4 linked regions of the Caenorhabditis elegans genome follow. The protein of the gene in region 4 interacts with the protein of the main gene of each other region in a pairwise test. Each region holds a gene or a part of one and is shown on either strand. Other genes may lie near its edges.

Region 1 (3,770 bases), on a different chromosome or scaffold from region 4:
CATGTCAGGTAAAATCCTCAAACAACTCAAACTACAGCGTCAACTTAATCTATGGAATCTTGAAAGTTTGCGATGTCAAGGAATTGGTCATCACCAGAAAGGTATAAATTTTCTAAATCTAGGAACACAATCTATTACGAAGCCGTTTAAAGATGAAAGTTTGGGTCTCACCACGCTGACAATAAGTTACTGTACTTCGCAACGTTTTGCTCCACTATTGCATTATAACTTTCATATCGAATGAAATAGTGCTTCCAAATTTTTTTAATCAACGTATGATACAATCGCGACCCATAAAATGACACGAGTTACAGTAGCCCTTTGTCAGCATGGTGAGACCCATGCGCGGAAGATATGGCGGAAATTCTCATTCTTGGACTTCTATGTAATAATTTTCATTGAAATTTCAGCCTGGAAAGCCACAAGCCGACAAGTTGATCATCCAGTACTGTATGGTAGTTGATGAGAACACGGATCCAAAACCATTGTTCGCAAATGGAGTGCCACCAGGAGAGCTTTCTGGAGAGACAGTCATCAAGTTGTCTGCTGCCGAATGAATAATACACCAAAGAAAAACAAGATATTTTTAAACTGAGCATTGTATGTAAAAATGAAGATTGGAATTTTTGTTCTGGGTGTTTATTATTATTAGTAAGATAATTCTCACAGAGAAAAAACAGCTAAACGTTCGATAAAATAATTAATCTGAATCGTCTGACGAGTTTCCGTATTCTTGAGCAATAAGTGAGATTGGGTTTGAAATGTTTGGCTTCTCCACTGCAGGTTCTTCATCTTGGAGACTTGAGTTTTCCGGAGCGGCTTTTTTAATTTGAACACCCAGAGACGAAGCTGATTTTCTCTTGATTCCTAAAAGTTTCTGAGTCGCGGATGATGTTCCAGCAGTTGAAAATGAGGCATTGATTCGTTTATCTCTCTCTGCTTTCATTGTAGCCTTCAATCGTTCGGAAGCGGATGGAACAGCGCCTCCAGAAGATCCAGAAGACGTGGATGGTGTGTCAGTTTCTTCCGGTCGTCTGAAGATCCTACGTGATTCGATTCGATCGCGGGAAGATTCGAGGTGATCATCGTGAGCTGTAATTTAATAGTTTTTATTGAACAGGAATTAAAAGCTGTAAATATTTTTTAATGATATAAAAGAAGCAAAAACTCACTTTTTGTATCTCGATATCTTGTCATCATAGACGCTATCCGTCGATCCTCTTCTGTTTCTGGTAATAATTGAGTCGTTCCAATGGATAGTTTATCACGAAGATTCGCATCTCGAGCACGAGTTTCGTTGAGGGATTTCTTCTCGTTCTGAAAATTGAAGAAAAATTAATAAATTTTTTGAAAATTTTCAAAGAATTAAAAAAAAAATCAACTGCATTTCCCAAAAATGGATTTTAAAAAGCCAAAAAAACCTACCCTAAACTGTGCTCTCAAAAACGAATTTGCTGTAAAATCGTCTCTCATTCTCTCTTGAATCCATTCCAACTTATCAACTCGTCCTTCTTCAGTAGCTGCTTTATCTTTATCTTCTGCTTCATGTTCTTTTTTAAACATTGCGTCTGCTGCGAGTTTCTGAGTAAAACCACGATCAACTGCTCCGATTTGTGCAATGTCGGTTGGATCGAAACGAAGTTCCTGTCGTGAGCATCCTTCCACTAGTTCGTAGTCGAAATTCTGAAGTTATGATTTTTTTTGAAGATTTTTGAAGATAAAATTAGAAATTTGAATTATATTTTTTTAAAGACTACATCCACTTCTTAAGTTAGAAAATACCTTTGGATCGGTCCGAATCACATAATAATTATCACAAAGATGGCATTTCATTCGAAATTCGTGAAGCGGTGTCGTGTAGTACATTCCAATTTTCTTTTTTTCTGCATTGTACCGTACTCCCATTCCAACATGATTATGACATCCAAGACACCAAATATTGAATGGCATTTCGAAACGGATCACCAAAATTCCTTGGTCAATCTTTTTGGCACGTTCGCGAAGCGCGTGGGTTCCATGATATCCATTTAAAGATTTGTGGGTTTTGTAATTGAAATCCGGCGGATAGTAGAAGTTTTGTCCTTTACGCTCTCCCATCTATAATTGGAATAAGTTTTACGTTTTCCAGAACAGAATAAAATTGGTATAAGAAGTAAAGACTTGTAAATAATAAAAACAGCTACACAACTGTTGAGGAGTTAAATTTTTTGAAAAGAAGGTAAAGAAAAATATTTATGAAAGTTAGTCAAAATGCAATAAAAGGGTACTCGTAGGTTTTTGTACATTGGGTAAAATCTGTGGAAAATGAATTATATCAAACTAAAATGGGTACTTCAACAAAAATAACAAAATTAGAACTTTTCTTAATTATCCACACCAAGCGCATGTGCTTCTAACGAGTTGAATCCTGTCTTTTTAGTCAATCGATCAATCGATTCTTTCGACAATTTCGGTTTTTCAGTTCTCGTATGCCACACATACACTTTCGTGCACATTTCCGCAAGTGGTTCCATATTATAACGATGAATTCCAAGATTTTCAAGAAAAGTAGATTCTTGATATCCACGAGGCACGTCGAATGAGAAAAGAGCGTTCGCGTTGGAGAGAACCAGAGAAATATTGACTGCAAATGCAGCCATATCGATCGGAAATGGACGCTCCGGTTTCCAGACAGCGTTGAAATGGGAAATCGATCCTAAAAAGATGTATTTAAAATTTAAGCAAGGACTGGTTATGAAAATTAAAACCTAGTTCAAATAAATTAAGGAAATATTTAAAAACCGTACCATTTTTCTCTAAAATTGGCGTTTCTACAAACATTCCACCAACTATTCCAACTGGCCAAACTCCTGCATTTTTCACTTTCCGCATTTCTCCGAAAATTTTCAGATCATATGTGTTATCATCATCTCCAAAGTACACAACGCCCTCTTTCACACCACTCAATTGATTTTGAATCCATAAAAGTGCTCGATTTCGTTGCTCAACGCCACGTGGCAACGTCCAATTGGGGTCATCGTATCTCATTTTTTGATCAGACGGAGTTCGAGCATTTAGATGTGTATTTGGAATTTTTGATCTTTTCAGAATTCCGGCGATGGATGGTGTGAGTTCATCGGAATCTTCTACAACGATCCAATGGAGGTTGGGAACATGGGAAAGCGTGTAGGATAGACGAGTGAGATCGGCTCGCTGAGCAGCGCGGAAATGTGTTGGAGTTATAAAATAAATGAAAGGCGTTGAACGATTAACACGTGGCAGGAGGGAAAGATGATCGCGTATTCTGTAATTATATTCTTAGAAGAATAAATACTTTTAAAAAATCTTACTGTGTATCAATCTCCTCAACTTTCCCATTTAATCGAACCAAATTTCGTTCTTTTTCGAATATCTGCGTTCTTAACCCGTCGCTTTTTCGTGTCAAAACTTCTATCTGAAAATTATTACTGAAATTTTGATAAAAGTGACATTTTAGTTACAGAAAAACAGTTGAAACATAAAAATAAACTCACGGTAGCTTGCAAAGTGGCCCGTTCTTCTTCCAAACTTTGTACCCGATTAATTGCATAAAATAGTTGCCAAACGAAGAAAATAACAAGTGCAATAAATGCTCGGAGCCACCATTTTTCTAGTAATCTAGATGGAAACATTATGTCGGTGCGGCGACAGGTCGAACAGTTTCATTTGGTTTATTTATCCCTGAAAAATTGAAATTTGGAAGTTCAAAAAGTGATCGACAAAGCACTATTTTAAGCCGGATTTGACGTATG
Region 2 (4,762 bases), on a different chromosome or scaffold from region 4:
GCCTTAAACCAAAAAAAAAGGGTCTGTTTGGGGGGAAACGCGATATGTCCGCATTATAAATGAGATAAAATGAAAATGAAAAAAATGGAAGTAGGAGCTGGAGCGGTAGTAACCGCCGACAAAAAAATGAAAATGTATAGGCGAAAAGAAACTGCAAAAAGTAGCAGCAGGAGAGGAAGAAGAAGTGGAACGTGACGTTTTTTGGTGGCGGCAGCAACAAGGGGATCAGGAGAGGAAGAACAATGAGTTTAAAGCATGTTTGGACAGAATTATTGATGACATCTACCGAAGAGTAGAGAGCAGGGGAGAAGAAAGAGGACGGCAAAACGAGAGTGCAACACCCCATCCCTCACTAAAAAAAAGTTTTGGCACATTTTTCTTTCGTTTTTTTTTTTTCGTCCACTCCCTCGTGCCTGTTAAGGGTTGAAGTGGTTCGGTTCGACCACACGGAGAAGTGAGGCATGCTCTCGAGGAGCACTGGGAATGCCTATATCTTTGAAAGTCTGAAGTCTGAAGAAAAACTGAAGCTCTTTGAAGCCGATCTGAAAATCTTTTGCATCATTTTCAAATGGTGTCAGGCTGTCCTAATACAGTTTGATCTACAAAATCGGCGGGAATTTTTTTTTCAGAAAAATGTGACGTCAGCACACATGGTTAGCCATACGAAATCAGGGGAAAAGTTCTCCCGCATTTTTTGAAGATCAAACCAACATGGGACACTTTGACCCCACGTGGTTTTTTTTATCAAACAAATCAGTGAAAAAATTGTTTTGCATTTCTAAAATGGTTGACTGTAAGTATATTTTTAAAGCAATTTTAAAGACATCGGAAGTAGAAAAAAAGTGCTGAACATTTCAGATTTACTTTTTTCAGCTCAATATGCTTCAGTTGAGCTTCATACTTTTTCAGTATACTGTTCAAAAATTATATTTCAAATCAAAAAGGTTCCAATCAAAATTCCAAGATCAAGCTCAAGTAAACACTGGTAGCGCTACGATTCTTTGCCCTCTTCAGCAACCAATGATTATTTTCAGAATGGGCTCTCCGTTTACACACTCAAAAAAAACGCGCAAATATTCTGCATCATGGGCGCTGTCTGAATGCTCTTCCTCAAAATGCAATAAGCAGGAATGGGTTGCGGGCAAAACGCAGAACGCACTTTTGTTGGGGTTTGTTGGACCAAGATCAGCACATGGTGCCGAGCTAGAAGTGTAAAAGTTCTGAATGTGTAGTACTGGGCTCTTCGGGAGCAAAAATGAAAAAGGCACACACACATACACAGACATAGTCTCGCTTGAAAAGGTCCACGAACACAGAGACTTGGCATTTGAGATGGGTTACAAAAAAAAACGCTGACCGCGCGCCGCGTCACTTGCTCACTTTCCGTTTTTCTTATTTTGAAAAGCTTGTCGTTTTGGTGTGTATGGCATGTTACACTGAAACTGAGAAAACTTGACGCTTTGTGGTGAGCGACAAAAAAGGGAGAATTACTTTGCAATTGAAAGCCAGAGATCAAATATCTGTTAGATTCGCTTCAAAATTTTGGAATACAAACGCACAATTTAGCAGTTAAATTCAATTGCTCCAAAAAAAATTTTTTCTACACTAACGTTTTCAACACTAACTAAGAATTACTCAAGACTTACCTAACGTTTTACCTAATTTGAAAACATTTATTTCACAGAGACGATTGAAAAGTTTTAAATAGCGGAAATGCGCTCCTAAAATTTTAATAGAGTTTGTTTTGTTTCAATGACTTTCAGATCTAAATTTTCCGAAATTAGTTCTTGCAGACTATTAATGGCCACTGGAGTTTTGGGGAATAGGCAAAAACGGGTATTATTTAAACATGGAGTAGACACTCATTATGATCTAAAAAGACCAAATATCTTAATAATACAATTCAAAAAATTTCAGGCTTTTCATAATTTCCGGTTAAACTTTGGCAAATTTTCAGAATTTTGAAAAATAAGAGCTTTTGAAGAAATCCAAAGCAATTTCACATGTTCCGGGCCCTACAATGTTTTAATCCAAATAATTACTGTATAAAAAATGTAGAAACATTTTTTTGGTCGACTTCCAAAATTATGATTGGCAAAAACTGAGTAATTGTCACTTTTTGACAATAAATAAGTTTCATTATGATATGTGGTCATTTTGGGACCAAAGGAGTGGTTTTTAACAACTTTCCCACTGGCGCTACTCCACTTTTAAAGAAAAATAGCGAAAAAATTTTGCAATTTTTTAAAACATTCCGTTAAAAAATACCAAACATTTTACCGAAAAAAATATAATGTTCATAATTTTTTAATATGTTACTTTGAAAATTCTGCAAAGACCGATTTCGGAGCATATTCACAATTCTAAACAAAAATAAAAAAAAAAAAACTCCAGAAGTAGTTACGTGTTTAAAATATCTTTCATATTATGAATATCTGTATCCATAAACTGTGGCTGAACTGAACTCATAGAAACATGTAAAAAACATAATTGTGCAAAAATGGCTACACCACTGCATTCGAAAAAGTACGTTTTTGAAAAATTCATAATTTGCCTCTTTTAGCTCGGAAATAATTCATGATGAACGAATACTAAATGACTAGAGCAAAAAACAGGAAAAAAATTGTTCAAACGGTTAAAAGAAATTATGTATTACATAGTAAATGTTCCAAAAAAAACGTGAATAAATATTTGTAACCTGTTTTTTAAGCAACAAGCGCCAAAAACATTTTCCAGTCGATGCACCATGTTCGAAATCTAGTATTCCACATTTATTTTAGGCATATGGTAGGTAATAACTTTGCTCTTACAAAAAATATTAGAAACAAATCACAGAAAAAAAACATTTTTTGCGAAAAAGACACGTATTCAAAAAAAGGTACGTCTATTGAAAATTCATAATTTTTCCCTTTTCTATTTGTAGATGACGAGCGAATACTGAATGACTGGTGCAAAAAAGAAGAAATTAATTTTGAATTTGGAAAAAAAAGTGAGAAATAATTATGACGTACCTCCTTGTTGATAAAACTGGCCACGCCCCAAATTTCGAGGTTTTGGTGGGGGCATTGGAGCCTGCCGATTTCCAGAAGACATTGTGATTTGTGTCTCTGAAAATTGTAAGTTTATAAGAGAACAATTTGAAAAAAAAGATAACATATCAGAGGTAAAGAAACAAATGATAACATCAAAGACCTGATGGGATATAATCGGCCTAGTTAAGGTATGTTCTCAATTTTTGGGGGCTGCGGAAAAGTAGGGGAAAAAAAGAAGGCGAAAAAAAAGCGAGATGGACGTAAAGATGTGAAAAGTGACACTGTTAATTGGATATATATGTAAAGTGGACACAATCGTGACTGGCACTGGTGCACGTACTGACGTCTTGGAAGTTTTAGGTGTGTTTTGATCAAGAGTAATTAAATATATAAGGGGGCAAATAGCTCAGTCGGTAGTGGTGGCCGCTAGCAATCTGGAGGTCACGAGTTCAAGTCCGGCCTCACTTCCTAGGTTCACCCAGCCCCTATTGGGAAGTGGAGCAATCCAAGACTGGATTATCGGCCACAGTCCCCGGCTCGGACGTGGCTTAAATTACAACCCAGTGGGATCACCACCAGGCAGTGTACCTGAGTCCCAGATCCGCAGTGCATAGCACTTGGAGAACGGATCGTCCTTTGACCCTTTAATCTTTAAATAGTGAAAAATAGCTACCCTCGTATTGTTAGAAATATCGGATTTTACTATGATGAGTAAGGAAACTGATTGAAAGAGCATCGGAAAAAAAGATTAAGAGCACGCTTTCAAAAATACAGCTTTCTTCCAAAATAACCAAACAATGCACCTAAAACTTTCTATTAAAAAAAAACAAAAAACAACTTGTGTCCCCATTGACAATTCAATGTTTGAACACCAACTTCGGCATTCGAACTTGAAGCAAAAAAAAAACAGTTTTTCTTCACTACTATCTCTAGAATGCACACCATTCGTGGGCACACCGACCTAATAGAACTGTCCCCAGGGACGGATTGATCACGAAAAGGAAAAGGTCATACAACACACAATGCAGTCGTTCAGAACAATGTGATAACAAGAAAAAAAATAGAAGAGTGGGTGTACAGAAGAAAAGCAAGGAATGTTCTGGAAAAGTGAAAAAAAACGAACTTGAATACAGTGTAAACATTACATAGAACTAGGATTTTTTGGCGAAAACATAGAAATGGCGAGATTGTTCAGAAGAGACCCCAAAAGCTTTTGATGATAACTATTAGGACCTCCATGGAAGCGGCCGACACTTTTCGGGTTCCGCGCAGCACTAAGCAGGAGGCGCGGCTCGCGGCACGAGGCAGACGTCGCCTGCATGAAAGCCCTAATATTTATGTTTAATAAAACCACTGGTATTGCAAACTTTTTCGTGATTGTCATTGGGTTTTAATTTTAAATTGAGGGTAATGACTATAAAGAGGACTATGAAAAATTTAACTTCAAAATTCTAAACTTCAAAAACTACCGCAATACCAAAAATGTGACTCACTTATGATCAGTATCTGAACCGCCAAACCCATTTGCATTATTGCTTGGTAATCTAACACCCGAATGGCGGTAGACACACACACACGTCAAAAGTTAGGGTTCCATCCCGTCCCCCTCTCGTTAAACACATGTTTAATCTCGCCAGATGGTTGTGATGCCTTAGTGAATGATGTACTTACTCTTAAGCGACGAACTTCTCTTTTTGTGCGAGCCGAAGCAGCAGGATGTACGTGATGTA
Region 3 (5,007 bases), on a different chromosome or scaffold from region 4:
AATTACTGTAGAATTTGCTAAGAGATATTTTGCGCGTCAAATGTGTTGCGCAATATGCATTCTCAGAATTGTTTGTTCCCGTAATAAAGCATTTTAAACGGAAAAATGAAAACAAAACATAAAATTTTCTAAAGACGAGGTAATTTCAATGAAGAATGCAAGGAATTAAGGAAAGTAAACTTGGAGGCAGCCGAAAAATTTAAACAATGGCTATTTACCATGAACCTTTTCTCGTGCCAAGACACTTCTGAATAAATGCTTGCTCCTTTAAAAATGCATGTCAAAGTCTTATGATTGAGTTTAGCGGTTATTTAGCGGCATTGAAAATCAATTTATTCGATATCAAAAGAGCGAAAGAAAAAAAAAGATGACAAGGATTGAGAGAGAGAAAGAAATCTACAAGTTGACTAGAAAAAATTGAAAATCCGTACTTCGAATCATGTTCATATAATCGTAATTATCCAGATGTTTGGCGATATCGTCTTTTCGTGGGGTTTTATCACAATCTACAAGGGGATGGCTAGAAAGAAGAAATACCATTTAAAGAGACAACGGGAGGGGGGGGGGGGGGGGGGGGGAAAGGTTTAGACCTCCTCGACCTTTTCAGCATTCTCGACGTCTTGATTCATGCTTCCATATCCACCATCAATGCTTGCCTAAATCGTTGTTCTATTTTCAACAACCATCAATTCATTTCCTCATCTTCAACCTTACCTTTATAAAACTATTTGCTGTCTCTGCTTGATGGCTTGATGAGTATCCCTGTTGTTGATCAGGCAGTACAAAGTGACTGACTTGTGGAAAGGGTTGAGTTTGAACTGGATCTACAATAACTTCAACTTCCGGATGAACCATTGGCTGGTATTGCATATATTGTTGTGGTGGTGGTGGTCCATACATATACTGAACTCCTTGAGGTCTTCGGTAATCTTGTGGCATGTACCGAATTGGACGAGCGTACTGTTGTGGTTGAACTACTGGTTGAGGTACATACTCATAGTAGGTTCCTCCCGGGGAGCACATTCCAGGCTCTTGGTAGTTTGATGATGGCATTGACATTTCTTCGAATACCTGATAGCCTGTATAGTTGGAGGTTGGAGGTTGTTGGATGTGAGCGTGGTGGTGGTGGTGATGAACCATCACTGATGGAGGTGTTCCACAAACTACTGGCACACTTTGCTCGTAACAGCCATGTGATATTCCGTTTGCCATTCCTCCGAAGCTCTCTGCTTTCTGGAAAATTTAGAGGTTAGAGTTTGAGAAGCGTTTTTTGCGCCCACGGCATGTGATCTTAAATTTTTCGAAACTCGGAAACTTATGGAAACTTATGAAATGTATGAGAGATACTCGTAAATCGACATGGCTGAAGCTCACAGATATTGACGGCCACACGTTCAATCTCAATCATATATTGATTCAAAATCTTGTAGCTTAGCGATCGTGAGAAAGTAAAACTCGACGCTGTTTCTTTTTTGAAAAATCGATTTTTCAGGCGAACTCTGATACTCACCCTCATCATTGGATGTTTTCCAGTGCACAAATAACTATTATTGGAGCAATCAAATGATCTTTGCGGTGCCCATTGATGTCCCTGTGGTCCACTCATTGGTGCAGTAACCATTGATTGTTGTGGGCAGTTGAGTGAAAGTTGTCGCATCGGAAGACCTCGAACATGATGTGGAGATTGAGGTTGAATAACTGATGGTCCAGTGACTGCTGCCACGTCAAATGATTGTGCCCTTCGCATCATGAGTAGATCATGATTAAGACTTGCTTGACTTCCATATTGACTCGTCGAATGATCACCGAATGATTCCATATGGTGAAGTTCCTTGCGGGATCCGCAAGTGTTTTGTCGTTTCAGTCGGTCTTCTACGTAATTATCGTGCCGGATGTAGTCGGTGAAGTTGTCATCAGGACTGGAAATTTGTTACTTTTCTAGTTAAAATCTGACAAGACCAAATAAAGGGGCTAAACTAAAACAGACAAAATATTATGATTTTCATGATACATACATCCGAAAATTAATCAACTCACATTTTGGTTTTCTCTGACTTGTTCACAACAATATCGGTCTGCTTATTCGTAACATTATGATCAAGACCAAACCACGCGGCACACCTGTGAAGAAGCATTCGGTGATAGGATGATGGAAGCTCGAATCTTTTCGATTGTGTGCTGAAAATTATCAATTTCAGACTGAAATTTTAACAAAAACGAACCTATCATCTAAAATAAGTTCTTTGAGTTGTTTTTCGAACTCCAGAAGCTGCTTCCGATCTTCTTCACTCTTGTGTAACGTGCGATCCACAAAATTCCTTAGATCAATGCCACTTCTGTCCGAGTACTCGGTTCCTGTGGACTCTCTGCTTAACGATTTCGATGTGGACCACAGTTTATTCTGTGCGAGACCCGGTGGGCGGAGTTTTGACACGTCACTGCTTTCTGCTGGCTTCTCCTCTTCTTTGCCTTCTTCTGGATGCTCTTCTATGCATGGGACCGTAGTATCCGAGTTTTCTGATGGGCTATCAGAAATTGACAGGAGAGATATTGGCTAAAAATTAAAAAATTTCAGTCGAAAACGACCAGATTTTGTCTATAAACTTACAAACATTCTTCGAAATTGGGTGAAAAATATGAATTTCAGCAGACTTCCTAACAGGAACTATTTCAGTTTTCAGCGCGGCCTATGACACAAAATCGGATCATCCTCTGATGATTCACAAGAGAGTGAGCTGATCAATATGATAATAAAATAATGTATTCTCCAAGCAGCCGACATTTTACGGGTTAGTGATAACTTTTAGCCGGCTTCAAGAAGTTGTGTACCTTAGCAGCATACACCATACGGGACAAGAACTACATCAGCAACGGCACCCATATTCGAAGTCCGACACTTCGCGGGACAATTTCCCACCTTCCCTTGAAATTGCTCACCTCTTCAATTGTTGCATTCTGTTTTGAAAGTCGTCTTCGAACACTTCCATTCCTCCGAACTCCCTCACTTTCTGTAGCTGGCACCGTCGTCACATTCATTGTCATTATTACCGTAGTCGATCGTCGCCGATCATCTTGTTTTGCGTCTTCAACATCGTCAAGCTCTGAATTATTCTCTTCTGAAACGTCGTTTTCGGTTGACATTTACACCTGAAAATTTGGTTTTTGTTGGAAGCACAGAAAAAGCAGAGGATGAGAATTTAAAAAAATAGGATTCAAGAAGTAGTACTACCAAAAAAGAGCAGAGTTTGCATGAAAATGGAGCAGTGGGTAAGCTTCAGCTGCTTTAGAGTCTCCGCCCACGAATGTCCTTCTCCCCCATTCAATGCTAAGCCCCGCCTTTTGAGAACCAAAAAACGAGACGAAATTTCGCAATAAAAAACATAAAAATGAATATAAATACATAATAGGCCTATTTTTTGAAAAGGTATAATAGTTCGAATAAGAAAAAGAAGAAGGTATTTAAAAATTAAAAGAATTTCCAAGCTTTTATCTATGCAGAGATAAGAGATACCAAATAAATGTAAACAAAGAAATCTGAGGTGAAGCAGAGGTTCAAAGAAAACGTGGAGGAAGCAAGAAGGGAGGAAGTTAAAGCCCGTTATAATTCAATTTGCGGGTGTTTCTTGCGTATTCTTGCAATAAAAATAAAAATTCTATTGCGAGTAATTCAAAAAAAAATTCGGTATTTCCACTTTTATGTATCTTCTCGTCTAATTGTAAGTTACATAACGTCAATTTTACAACTGTGGGTCTTGTAACGGAATCTCTCGTTTATTATAGCTTAAAAGTGCATTGAAACATGAAAATTAACATTTCAAACTGAACTCCAGTCTTCGCGGTGGGACCCAAAATTTGTTGAACCTAGGCAAAATTAGTAGCTTATAGAGTTCAAAAAATTAAATTTAAAATGACTCTTCGAATTACAGTAATCTAGTTTTTCCAATCATGTCCTACTTCCTACCGTATGACAACTTTATCACCAATTTTCTATGAAACAGGCAACTAAATAAGCATGAATTAACAACTAAATATCACTGATAATATGCAGTTTCCATCCATTTTCTCAAACATTTCCAATTATTTCTGCGAAAAGCTCAAAATCAGATCAAAATCATTTTCAAGGGGGATTTGTAGGGGATTAGAAACTGCCAAATAATGTGTTTTTGTGGTGGCTCACGGGTGGGAGTGCTCATCTTGAATAATAATGGGTGGGAGGAAATTGAGGTGAGGTTTCCTAACGGAAATTGACTTTTAGAACTTTTTCGGTATGAATCTCTGGAAAATATAGTGCAAACGTAGTTCTACATCCAAAAACTTGATAACTTGAAAGAATTGTAAAATTCTTAGAATTTTTATTTGAAAATTATAAATCTCTTTTGAAAACTTTCAATAAAAAGATACTAACGAGCGGAATTCAGAATACCGTATTTCTTCTATTAATATGGCCTCCCTATTAGACTTGCACTCCCTATTAGTATTGCACCTTTGAATTTTGAGATTTTTACAACATTTTTTGCCTACTTTGCAACAAATTTTTGGTAAAATTTCTATGGAATTGAAGTTATTGTACCTTTTTGTTGCAATTGCAATCAAATTTTCTGAATTTTTACATAAGATACGAGTTTTTTTCAGAAAAAAATAGTAAGCTCAAAGTCAGAAAAATGTTCTGAAAATTAGTATTGCACTCCCTAATAGTCTTGCACTCCCTATTAGTATTGCAAGCGGGAAGACCATCGAAAAATAGTATTGCAGCCATATTAATAGAAGAAATACGGTAGTTTACTTTTGGTTAGATAAATAATATTTTTTTGCAAAGTTCAAATATATGTTTTCTCCATTTGGCTATGTTGTAAACTCTATACTAAAAGTATAAACTAACTCGAAATTTTCATTTCTCACTATCAGAACATGAATAAATTTATCCACTCTATCTTTGAGACACAGAGTTTCATACTTGTATTCTATTATCGACAAAAAGAGCCTATGCAGATGTTTTTTCTTCGTCTA
Region 4 (4,910 bases):
CACAAACTACTCTAACAAGTGTTCATACTTTTATGTCTCAAGCTCTTTCAAACAAATCGCACTTTTGTTCCAAATTTCTTCTCATTTTCGTCTCGGTCTTCTTATCATCCCATCCCCCTCCCCTTTTCGTTGATAATCAGCAACGCGCACTCGCTTTACTACAAACACGTCCAATACCTGCGCCTCCTCAAAATCATCCCTATATCATTCCGAGAGCTCCCCCGGCTCTCGGGAGCTCAAGAGGAGATGGCCATGAAGTGCGAGAAGGCTTCCCGCGCCGGGAAGAGCGAGAGAATGTCAGAGTTCGAGCGAGAGGATGTGCTCACGCCCGCGCGTGCCGTACACCGTTGGGCCTGAAGCTTTATCCGCACAGACCTCAGAACAGCAGAACCCCCACCTCCGCAACACAACACCAAGTTGATTTTTTGGAATTTTTTTTTGGAACTCAACCGTCTTAATTTATACATTAGTTCTGTATACTTCTAGACTTGATACAATGCAATTTCAACCTAAAATTGAAGATGTAATCTGAAATCACCCATCTCATATAAGAAAACAATGTTTAAAACTACTTTTTAGATTATGAACGGCAATCTACCAATGCCTAAGGTTGGCACGGTTTTTTTTGAATAAAACTTGTACTCTGCAATTCGATAAATGTATTTAGGATCATGTAAGATTGTTTTTTGCCAACATTTTAGCTCACATACGATAGATCTCTAGGAAGTTTAGTTCAGAACGTCATTCGTGGTATTTTGTGTTTATAATTATTTTTTACTTCAAAGCAAGTAGCATTACCAGATTGTTCAAATAGTTCTTTTTTGGTTGGTTTGTAGGACTTTAATACTAATGTTCAAGTTGCAAACGGAGATACAGGACTTCATGTTAAAAATCGTTAGCTTTGTTGTTATAAAACTTTATGTTATAAAACTTTCATAAGTTTATGTAGATTGGCCTACAAAAAGTATCACCTCTTTAAAAGTTTAAAAAATGTTACTGGCAGTTAGAAATAAAACTACAAAACTGGGGTAATATACGGTGTTCATTATGAAACACACTGATTATGAAAAAAAAATTGGAAAAAACTAAAATTTCAATTATTGGGTGTGGTATCGTTTTTTAAACGTAGTTTAAAACTATATGTTCCGTTAAACGATAAGAGTTCCATAAAAAAAATTAACTGTCAATCACGAATGACTCATCGAATCAGAAAACTCGTTATGCTCAGTTTCATAATTTCAATTGAATTTCTTTATTAATTTTAAATAAAACATCTTACTTTTTCAACAATCTTTTTTTTTCTGTTGTAGTCATTCACTACCATTTCCCCCGTCAAATTGCCCGACAGTCGATAAATATACAAAATCCAGCATAATCTCACTCTCCCTTCTTTTACTCTTATTTTCTATTTTGCACTATACGGAAAACAATACGATTTTTTTGTTTTCAATTTTTAATTAAAAGTAAAAATTCAAAATGTCAAAATGTTTGCAAAATTTTTCATCTATAAACGCCACGTGGTTATTGAAGATTTCGTGTAACTATTGGACTGAAACGTTTGCGCTTTAGCAAATAACTGCGTTTGAAGTGGTACACATTTGAAACAAAATGAATATTTTCGGTTGGACAATATTTTTTTAAACATGTTCTACTAAATTCTGTTTGAAACTTTGATTTATTTTTATTTGTTTCGCTCTATTTTATTGACCAGGACACAATAAAATTTCAGGTAGTCAAATCAAGATGGAACGTGTGACCGTTCGAATGGCTCGTTCGGATCGCCGAACTCCATGGGGGTTCGGTGTGACAGAAGCCCCAGATGGAGCTGTTCTTATTGTTAATGTAAGCTCTTTATTATAAATTTAGTATAAGTGTCCCCCTATTTGTCATAAAGTAGTTTGTCAGTTTGTCCAAATTGAATCACAATAAAATTTGTCGTAAAAATTAGTCTTGAGGCATATGTTTTCGTATACATTTAATACAAAAACCAAGAAAACCCATCACATTCACTTTTAGCACCTCTAGGTTCTTACCGCGATCTCAAAAATCACCGCATCACCACAACTGATTTACAATCTCATCGCCTTCCTCACTTTCTCTCGCAGTTTTATCCTCTGGACATGCCCAGGGAAAATCGGAAGAGCAACACAAAAAACATCACTTATTACAATAAGTTAGATGCTTTCAAAATTTCTCTCAAAACTCATAGACAAAATGTAGTGAGAGATTAGTCGTTAACGTAAGAAAAAATGAATTTGAAAAATTGACATGCGTTGGGGGATTTTTTAAAGCAAAGGGAGCCTTCAATTCAAACAAGTTGAATATCGAATAAAAGTTGAAAATTTCAGGTAATAGGTGGTAGCTTAGCTGATCGTGCCGGTCTTCGTAATGGAGATGTTGTTGATCGTTTGGAAGATCTTGACAATTTGGACATAAACGCTGTTGATAGACTTCTAGTTACAGCTCATGAGAAGATTGAACTTATTGTTACCAGGTAACTCATCTCGTTAAACACTTCAAATTTATCAGTATAGCACCAATTATTCAAAATTTGTGTCGACCACAATAAATAAAAATTATATATAAACAGAGCAGGTGTGTGAAAATAATAAGAAAGACATAATTTTCTCGAATATTTCCCCTAAATCGATCCCTTGAAAATGTACACAACCCTAGTTATGTAATCTGTAGCTTTGTTATCACAACGCAATTCAAAGTAGGTTACTTACCAGTTTGTATTTCCGTTTATTAACCAGTCAAAGTGTTCTCCGTTTTAATCACATCACCAATGTATCCTACCTTTCCGTTTTTAATCCGTCTGCGTCTTAGTTTATCTCCAACAGCAAGTGCTTCATGCAATAGAATATAGATATCCAAAATTTTCGAAGCGAACACCCGCCATATAAACAGGCGAACAGATAAGAATCAGGCCAATCGGTACGGGGGAAGCAGAAGGCAACATTCTTCCGAATATCTCGTTGCAGGAAGAAGGAGGGACTTAGGATTTATACATACATATTCCGTTTGATGACAAATCGTTGCAACTGTTTTGAACTGTTTTGAAACGGTCAAATGTCCCAATCAATGTTTTCTTTAGCTTTGCAACAGCTTTGCAACACAAGTTTTGCTCCTCTTATAAGCACTCTAATGTCATTAAATTTGAAGCTCGTTACCTTTTTCCCTCAAAAATCATTCTGTGTTGATAGTTTTAACAAGCTTCAGATATTTTTGCCCCTTTAAACTTATTTTTGAGCACTTTTTACATAAGCAACTGCAAAAAAAGTTGCATGGAAAAATGTTATAGAATTGCCAAAAATAACTGCCACAGCATTCAAGATTCTTTCCAAAACTGCTGTATAGTTTTAAGAAATACCAAAACAAAACAGTTTGACAATTATTATTATTTTGGCTTTTACTTTTCCCGAATTCGCATAATTTTCTCCTGAATGTTATGTTTTACTTTGAACAGTTGAATTTTAAATAAATAGGGTTTTAATGATGAGTCAGTTCATGACAAAGCAATGTACTTCTGACACTGTTCTTTTTATTTCATTCTCTGTTGTTGTATCAGAGTGTTCCAACAATTTATTCACCCTCTCGCACACAAAAACTGAGAGAATGAAATTGTTGAATACTTCCTCTCACATATTTCCCTTTTCCAGGTGTTTATCATTTTTGAACAAAAAAACTTGCAAGTTTCCTTTTTCTTTACGTTTACCCATTTTCCTATAAATATATTTCATGTTCAATTGAAATGATTTAAGATTCAAAAGTGATGGTGAGAATCACAACGACGCCAAGACCATGGTAATTTGAAATTTAATCGAAGAGATTAAATAGAAAATAAATAAATTTTGATTTCATTCATATCAAATAAGTTTAATTTCAGGCAACCATCCGGTGCAGCCACCAGAATTTGGCGTCCAGAAGTAACTGAAAATACTGGACCAGGACAGGATCAAACCCCATATCGTGTCAATTTGCAGCATAGCAGTGATGTGAGTCATTTGAGTTTTGTTTTGAAATAGGAAGCTTCACACAAAATCGTTATTTGTAATCGTTTTTAACGACAATAGCATAACATTTTTTAAAATTTCTAATAAATAGTGAATAATAAATTATTTTTAGACCCGTCCACCACAAGGTTTCAACAATTCAGCACTTCCTTTTGAAACAGATCAACGTGTGAAACATATGCAATACAATTCTCCATTGGGAATTTATTCCGATAAGTCTGCAGCTGAGCAATATGTTCAACAAACTCAAGGATTGGGAGATAATTCAGGGTGAGTGTTTTTTACATGACTAAATTTTTGAAAGAGCACTTATAGTTCAATTTGGCCAGAAAATATAGTATAAATTTAGTTCGGAAGTTGGCCTATATTTTACAAAAAAATTTCTTGAGACAAGTCATGGCCAAGCTTTGTTCACCCTTTACCAACTTCTGAACAAAATTCTTAGGTTTGGGGCAGTTGGGTCAGAAGTGGCGGTCGAATTCCGAGTCTCATAAATTAATCCAAAAATTACAAGACGTTAACGCTTTTTATCATTCAATTTCAAGAAACGAAAAACAAATTAAATGTATTTAAAATCCACGACGGCTTCTCATTTCTCTGAAAGCTGCAGTGAGGTTATCGATGAACAAAAGCTCGCGTTTCTTGCGCGGAAGGTAGTCTCCCTGAAAATTGATATTCTTTATCATAACAATTCAATCGAAATTACCGTGTCGAAACCTCCGGCGACAGCAGCTTTTCCTGCATCATCTGTAGCATCAGTTTTAGCCTTGCAGTCCTCTGGAAGATGTGGCATGACAAGTGCCTTGGCTTGCTTTCCATAAACTTTTGCCAAGTTTTTAACCGCTGCCTTGTCAGCATCATCAAGTGACTCGAATTTGGATTTAAGCTGGAAAA

The links.
Region 1: the proteins of alp-1 (region 4) and ZK1307.9 interact in a two-hybrid assay, tested with the Caenorhabditis elegans proteins (3 studies listed by BioGRID).
Region 2: the proteins of alp-1 (region 4) and C09G1.4 interact in a two-hybrid assay, tested with the Caenorhabditis elegans proteins (3 studies listed by BioGRID).
Region 3: the proteins of alp-1 (region 4) and ZK121.2 interact in a two-hybrid assay, tested with the Caenorhabditis elegans proteins (3 studies listed by BioGRID).

Annotation. Positions count from the first base shown.
Region 1 is NC_003280.10:9,647,818-9,651,587, reverse strand, and holds ZK1307.9 (Coiled-coil domain-containing protein 130 homolog), read right to left. Parts: upstream 2,098-3,770; coding exon 1,783-2,097; intron 1,684-1,782; coding exon 1,426-1,683; intron 1,318-1,425; coding exon 1,173-1,317; intron 1,093-1,172; coding exon 701-1,092; 3' UTR 626-700; downstream 1-625. Other genes in the region: ZK1307.4 (motile sperm domain-containing protein), read left to right, coding at 9-101, 411-557; Galactosylgalactosylxylosylprotein 3-beta-glucuronosyltransferase sqv-8, read right to left, coding at 2,364-2,695, 2,787-3,283, 3,330-3,433, 3,513-3,650.
Region 2 is NC_003284.9:15,993,829-15,998,590, forward strand, and holds the start of C09G1.4 (uncharacterized protein), read right to left. Parts: upstream 3,110-4,762; 5' UTR 3,094-3,109; coding exon 3,012-3,093; intron 611-3,011; exon of another isoform or gene 387-610; intron 1-386.
Region 3 is NC_003281.10:5,339,824-5,344,830, reverse strand, and holds ZK121.2 (R3H domain-containing protein), read right to left. Parts: upstream 3,150-5,007; 5' UTR 3,142-3,149; coding exon 2,938-3,141; intron 2,555-2,937; coding exon 2,223-2,554; intron 2,179-2,222; coding exon 2,038-2,178; intron 1,920-2,037; coding exon 1,511-1,919; intron 1,234-1,510; coding exon 715-1,233; intron 657-714; coding exon 585-656; 3' UTR 572-584; downstream 1-571.
Region 4 is NC_003282.8:8,850,771-8,855,680, forward strand, and holds the start of alp-1 (PDZ and LIM domain protein Zasp), read left to right. Parts: upstream 1-1,729; 5' UTR 1,730-1,743; coding exon 1,744-1,842; intron 1,843-2,348; coding exon 2,349-2,494; intron 2,495-3,759; exon of another isoform or gene 3,760-3,775; coding exon of another isoform or gene 3,776-3,807; intron 3,808-3,889; coding exon 3,890-3,998; intron 3,999-4,128; coding exon 4,129-4,286; intron 4,287-4,525; exon of another isoform or gene 4,526-4,585; coding exon of another isoform or gene 4,586-4,678; intron 4,679-4,722; coding exon of another isoform or gene 4,723-4,902; intron 4,903-4,910. Other genes in the region: T11B7.5 (uncharacterized protein), read right to left, coding at 4,586-4,678, 4,723-4,902.